Arabidopsis thaliana: one gene and its partner. The protein of the gene in region 2 interacts with the protein of the main gene of each other region in a biochemical or structural test. Each region holds a gene or a part of one and is shown on either strand. Other genes may lie near its edges.

Evidence for each region.
Region 1: the proteins of AT1G67720 (region 2) and AT4G39270 form a complex in vitro, tested with the Arabidopsis thaliana proteins (one large-scale study listed by BioGRID).

The regions. Positions count from the first base shown.
Region 1 is NC_003075.7:18,274,576-18,278,333, forward strand, and holds the start of AT4G39270 (Leucine-rich repeat protein kinase family protein), read left to right. Parts: upstream 1-1,735; 5' UTR 1,736-2,298; coding exon 2,299-3,758. Other genes in the region: CCR1 (cold, circadian rhythm, and RNA binding 1), read right to left, coding at 276-383.
Region 2 is NC_003070.9:25,384,386-25,388,143, forward strand, and holds the start of AT1G67720 (Leucine-rich repeat protein kinase family protein), read left to right. Parts: upstream 1-1,745; 5' UTR 1,746-2,108; coding exon 2,109-2,181; intron 2,182-2,486; coding exon 2,487-3,024; intron 3,025-3,114; coding exon 3,115-3,626; intron 3,627-3,754; coding exon 3,755-3,758.

The sequences.
Region 1 (3,758 bases), on a different chromosome or scaffold from region 2:
AAACAAAATCATACACATCAGCAAAAACAATCGTGGAAGGAATATAAAACAAAGCGATGAATATAAAGCAAAAATCGATCGATCTCCGAGCTCATAGAAGCAGGAAGATGAACGTACCGATGGGACAAATTAAGTAACAGTAACAAAGAACGAGAGAGAACATAGTAACAGTAATCGAATCAAGTAACAGAGAAACAGATCGGAATCAGATCCGTCGAGGATCAGAATCATCGGAATCGGCTCGATCCGGGAGACCGATCTCTCGTGTAACAGACCTTAGAATCGATAACGTCGCCGAACTGTGAGAACGTCCTTTGAAGATCTTCATCATTGGTGGCCCAGGCAAGGCCGCCGACAAAGCACCGGTACTCAACTTCAGACATTTTTTTTTGGGGAAAAGAAGAGAAATTAGGGTTTCAAAATGTAAGAGAGAGACTTATGTGATTTGAGGTGATAAGACGCAGCCTTAATTTATAGAACAGGTGTGACGTAATAACTAGGGTTAAACATGTTTTCTAGGGTTTGCTGAAAGATTTGTTTCAACTTACTCTGATTAAGATGTGTGGTTAATTGGGTTAGTGGTTAGGCCCACATCATGTGAGCATTTTCGATAACTAATGATTTTTTCTCCTCGTTTCGAGCAAAAAATATCTTTGTAAGAATATCTTTTATTCCTTAAATGACAATTTTGTCCTTCGTCTCGTCGTCATTATGTCATACAATAGTTGGGTCTGAGTTTCGTTTATTGGGCCTATCTAATTTAATTGGAAAGATTATAACTTCCGGCCCAATGAATCTGACGGCGAAATTAGTAAAACAATAAAATGAAATAATATGCAAAGACTATGACGATAATGTGCTATGGATTTACATATTTGTTTTGTCATTAATTATGACATGCAATAAATTCATATGAAAAGATTCTTATCGCAATAGCATCGTGGACATGTTACAGTCTGTAATATCCAAACTTTAGCATAGACGTTTTTTGTTGTACAAATATTTTGGTATGTTAAGTGATATTCAAATGAAAGCTAGATGTGCAGATATGTGAACATATAAATCTTTCAATGGAATTCAATTTTCAATCATTGAATATTTGGATACACTCGCTCTGTACTTGAAATATTTTGACTGTCTGAATATTATTTTTTTACAGGATTAATTATTTTGTATACCAAAATTAGACGGATGAAGAATGAAGATGTAGTAGTTATACAAAGTCAATTACAAATGGTTCAGTATCTTGATTTCGATTTTTGTGCTGAAAATGCTGACTAAAGCGTGTAGAAGAGCTTTTTCAACAAGAAATAACCTGGCTAAGATTTTTTTAAGAAATCTGATTATTAATATATCGCAGGTAATATGAAAAAGTATCGTCGACTTTTTATAAGAGTGACAACTAAATCATTTTGCTCATAATAAAGCCACAATTATTATTAGTATATTTTGGTCGTTTTAATACGAGGAAAAATAATTGTCATACAAAATTTACAGAAATGGAGTAGCATCGTAGCTCCTAGGAATTCAATTATTTATTTGCAAAACTACTAAAATGGTGGTTATCATATTAAACGTCAGCAGAAACTTTAAGTATTTTTGAAATGATATTAATTTAAGAGTTCGTTAAGCTGTCTTGGGCGGGATCGTTGAGAGTCAAACTCCTCAAACGACGCCGTATTCAGAACTTCACTTTCAATTACTGTATCTGCGTCTCGGTCACGAGATCGAACCATAAATCTTGGGAACGTGCACGTATACAACGAAAGATCCACCTTCTCTCACTTTTTTTATTTTCTTATACTTTCTTCTCTTTTCTTCGAACGGCCGCTGTTCTTGACCAGTCTGAAGCTTTCTCTGTCCAGAACAGTTCTGTAAGAAGAAGTTTTTATCAAATATTATATAAAAATATCTGTTTCGTATTATATCAGACTTTCCATCTTTCTCTCTCTAAATCTAGGACAAAAAAAAACATGGAAGAGTTAGAGAGAGAGAGAGGCAGCAGAAAATGATTGGTAAACAACAATGAATCGTTTTTGATTCTGAAGTGCACAGAGAAAAGTAATTGCCAGAGAAAGTCGCAGAGGTAACAGAGTGAAGAACCTTTTTTAGTATATATCTTTGTTGAATAATCACAAAAAGAAAGTTTCCTTTATTGATCGGATTCGAAGGAAACCCAAAAAAAAAAGAGATTTGATTATTTCCATAAATCGCGAAGCTTTTTTCCAATTGAATCTTAGGCAATGAATGGCTTTAAGTTTTTCGAAGTACTAGTCGTCACCAGGGTTTAGAGAAACCATGGTGGTTCTGAGGAAGACATCCTTGTTGGTCTTCTTCTTATTCCTCCTCTTGTTGTTAGAGTCAACGTTTGAGCAACAGACAAGTTCTCTGAATGAGAAATCGGCGCTTCTGCTGTTAAGGTCTTCTCTTGGGTTACGAAGCAGAGATTGGCCTGTAAAAGGCAATCCTTGTCTGAACTGGAACGGCATCAAATGTGATCAGAATGGTAGAGTAACTAAGATCAACATTTCAGGGTTCAGAAGGACAAGGATTGGGAATCAAAACCCGGAATTCTCAGTTGGTTCTCTCGTCAATCTCACCCGTCTAGCTTCCTTCAACGCCTCAAGGTTCTATCTTCCAGGTCCAATCCCGGCTTTGTTTGGATCGAGTCTGTTGACTTTAGAGGTGTTGGACCTTAGCTCCTGTTCAATCACAGGAACCATCCCTGAAAGTTTGACTCGGTTATCACATCTCAAAGTTCTTGATCTTTCAAAGAATGCGATCAATGGGGATATTCCTCTGTCTCTTACCTCTCTTCAGAATCTATCAATCCTTGATCTTTCCTCAAACTCGGTGTTTGGTTCGATTCCTGCTAATATTGGGGCACTCTCAAAGCTCCAGCGTCTGAATCTTTCGCGTAACACCTTGACTTCTTCAATACCTCCATCACTCGGAGACCTCTCTGTTTTAATTGACCTTGATCTCAGCTTCAACGGAATGTCAGGTTCGGTTCCATCAGATTTGAAAGGGCTAAGGAACTTGCAGACATTGGTAATTGCGGGAAATCGCCTTTCAGGATCCCTACCTCCTGATCTGTTTAGTTTGCTGAGTAAACTTCAGATCATTGACTTCAGAGGCAGTGGTTTCATAGGCGCTTTACCGTCCAGGTTATGGTCGTTACCGGAGCTCAAGTTTCTAGATATTTCTGGAAATCACTTCTCTGACATGCTGCCTAATACCACTGTCAGTTTTGATTCTACTGTCTCCATGCTTAACATATCCGGGAACATGTTTTACGGCAATCTCACACTTTTACTGACAAGGTTCCAAGTTGTTGACCTGTCAGAAAACTATTTTGAAGGTAAAATTCCTGACTTTGTGCCAACCAGAGCTTCATTGAGCAACAATTGTCTTCAGGGCCCAGAGAAGCAGCGGAAGTTGTCGGATTGCACTTTGTTTTATTCAAAAAAGGGCTTAACTTTCAACAATTTCGGACAACATGAAGAGAAGAAGAGTTCTAAAACTTCCTGGTTAAGCCACACGAAAATAGTTATACTTGCTGCAGTTGGAGGGTCTATATTGCTTATGCTCATTCTCATAGTGTTACCAATAACAGTGAGTTTCTGTGTCCGTCGAAGAAACAGATCATCAACAAGTAATCATCCTAGAGGAAGACACAACGGTGTTGGCCCATTACCTCCTGATGAAACACTTCCCTCAAGAGGAGGAGTCTCTATAAACTTTGGGAGTCTTGGATC
Region 2 (3,758 bases):
GCAAGCAATATACGAAACTTTGATCGATATTGTTTACTTTGAGGTTGATAATAGAACTTAAATAAAAAATTTAGAATTATAATACTTTCCACTCCGAAACTCATATGTAAATATGTTGGTAAATTCAATATAGAAGTGTGAAAATGCGTAATATAGTGATATTGTTTTATAAAAATACTTAAAATTCTCTCTTAATTTCCAAAACCATTAAAATAAAATAAAAACATACCATTATCACTCAAATTTCATATCAAAGGTTTTTTTAAAATCAAAATTAGTAATAAATACTAAAAGTTTTAAATAATATTGGAATAGATTTCGTCTGTCAAGTCCACGAGAGATCTCTAAATACTTGATCTTGAATACTAATTCATCTTAGAGGCCCTAGAATTAGTAAAAGCAGGAGTGGCTAACGCATCAGTCATCTATCAAGATACTGGTGAGCAATGAGACTTGTTATGCACCCCTCTCGGCATGGTACAAAACACATAATTATTTGATTCATCTAACATGTTCGTTCTTGTAGTGATATTATAGACGCTAGTGTGCTTATCCATCCCGTGTATGAAACCGGTAAATATATGACTACGAATAAAACATTATACACTTTATACAAAATCTATCATAATCGGATCCCCAATCTTAGGAGAATATTAATACTCCATACTCATAAAACTCACCTAAACACATAAAAATTTGTTGGGTGTCTTTCATAACTTTCTCTTGACTTAAGTGTCGGAGATTAATTAAACGACAAAGGATTGTCCTTTACGTGGTACATGTTTATCTCTTGTTCAGTGTATCGTCCACATTCACGAGAAGCAAACACAATGCAGATGTCGAAAATTTGGCAGGAAGAACTATCTTTTTATATTAAACTTGTAGGAGCTTTTCCAAAACATAATGTTTGTGGTTTTTTTTGAATATATATATTCTAAAAGTCGATCACAAAGTTTTAAAACTAAAACATTATTTTTTTGATTGGTGATATATATAATTTTGTGTCCGACACCTTAATAGTATTTAGTAATATAATGGTTGTGCGCCATATATAAATTGACAAATGACACCAATATTTTAATTCTTACACACAATCTATACACATAAATCTCATTCGATCCTTACCTTTTCCGTAGCTTTTCATTTAACAATAATATTCATATTTTGGATTAAACCTTCACTTTACTCTCTTTGTTAACTTTAAGGAAGATGCTGAATGTTGCAATTGTGCAATTTGTCAATAACATATGCTGAACTTATTGTCTTTGTATATCACATAAAAAACAAACTGAAATACTATGTGTTAAAAAGAATATTAAACAATTTATAAACCATTTTTCTTGCATAATCTATCTTTTAACCCTATATTAATAAAAACAAAAACAAAACTACATACACTTTTTTGGTCGAATCAAAACTATATACTGTACATTGTTTCATATAACATTATTTTAGAAAAGAAAAAACTCTTCGAAATAAGTAACTCATGCAGATAACAGTCCCCAATTGGGAATGGATTTGTATTTTCTCAATTTAAAGATTAAGTTCATTTTCATACTTATACTGTATATGGAGAAAATATGATAGAGTAGATTATTGAAAATGGGCCTATTAGTTATGTAGTATAGACCTAATGCTATAACCTGCTAATAATTAGGCCTTATTACACTTCCGTTTTAGAAATGCGGCCCAATGGGTTTTAAAGAGGGAAACAAAAAAACAAACACACATACCTGTAGGCTGTAGTGTTGTAGTACAGCTTGAATTAAAGCTTTCGAGAAATTGTGTGCGACACCAACTTTTTCCAAAAGCAAGTAGCCAAAGCATAAAAGGTGAAACTGATAGCTTTAAATTTTCAGGAATGAAGAAAAAGAAAAAGCTAATTCGAATCTCAAATAAAGAAAGACAAATTCTATGTGACCATTGCAAAGAACTCGACTTTTTTTAGTAAAAGCAATTAACAAAGTTGGAGTCTTTGTTCACTTCACTGTCTCTCATCACACGCTTTCCTTCTTTATCTCGTGACCACTTTCAAAGCCGAAAAGAACTTGGTATTTTTGCATTGAATTATAGAGATTTAAGAGCCATCGATGTGTGTGTGATCTTCAATGGGTTTATGCTTAGCTCAATTGGCTGTAACATGTTTGTTCCTAGTACCTTTTGTTCTGTCTCAAGTTACAGGTACTTATGGCACATAATCTGTTTGTTTAAATGCTTCAATGAGTGTTTATTTGTGTGTGTCTGTGTGTGTGTGTGGAAATTCTTGTTCTTGATGTGTTCTTTAACTTGTTTTTTGATGTTCAATCACAAATTTTTGTTCTTATTTGCGTTGAAGTCTTCAATTTTAGACTATTTATGGTTAAAAATGTTCAATTTATGGTGTAATGGGATTGAAGAGTAGGGGAATACTAAGATTCTCTTGTCATGCGTTTTATTGTAGTTAGTGGGAAATGGATGAAATTTTGATTGAGTGGCTATATTTGCAGAGTTTGTAAGTATAGATTGTGGTTGCTCAAGTAACTACACAGACCCAAGAACTGGACTAGGATGGGTTTCAGATTCAGAGATCATCAAACAGGGCAAGCCAGTAACTTTGGCCAATACCAATTGGAACTCGATGCAATACCGTAGGAGAAGAGATTTCCCAACTGACAATAAGAAGTATTGTTACAGACTCAGTACCAAAGAGAGAAGGCGATACATTGTCAGAACTACATTTCTTTATGGTGGTTTGGGTAGTGAGGAAGCCTACCCAAAGTTTCAACTTTACTTGGATGCAACGAAATGGGCTACTGTGACGATTCAGGAGGTCTCTAGGGTTTATGTTGAGGAGTTGATCGTAAGGGCAACTTCAAGTTATGTGGATGTTTGTGTATGCTGTGCTATCACCGGTTCTCCTTTCATGTCCACTCTTGAGCTTCGCCCGTTGAACCTTTCGATGTATGCCACTGACTACGAGGATAATTTCTTCTTGAAGGTTGCTGCCAGAGTGAATTTTGGTGCTCCGAACATGGATGCCTTGAGGTAAAACCCTATTAAAACTCTTCTTTCCATTATATCATTCACAAGAATGTTGACAGACATCCAAAAATACTCAAAGACTTTCTCTTTTAGGTACCCAGATGATCCATATGACAGAATCTGGGAGTCAGATATTAACAAACGGCCAAACTATCTTGTTGGTGTGGCTCCTGGAACGACAAGAATCAATACGTCAAAGACTATAAATACGTTGACTAGAGAGTATCCGCCTATGAAAGTCATGCAAACAGCAGTAGTTGGCACACAAGGACTGATCAGCTATAGATTGAACCTGGAAGACTTCCCTGCCAATGCTCGTGCGTATGCTTATTTTGCTGAAATTGAAGAACTTGGTGCTAACGAGACCCGGAAATTTAAGTTGGTGCAGCCATACTTTCCTGACTATAGTAATGCAGTGGTGAACATTGCCGAGAATGCCAATGGGAGCTATACTCTCTATGAACCTAGCTATATGAATGTGACTTTGGATTTTGTTTTGACGTTCTCATTTGGGAAGACTAAGGATTCTACGCAAGGGCCACTCCTAAATGCAATTGAAATTAGCAAGTATCTACCAATATCCGTGAAAACTGATAGGAGTGACGGTGAGTACTAGAGGCTACTACTACCTTGTAAATTCTTCTATGAATCTTTTCCCGTCTATGATGCTGCTGGAAATGTGCAAATCAAAATTTGTTGATAAAGAGTTTACAGAAGTTTTCTAATCCTGCAGTGTC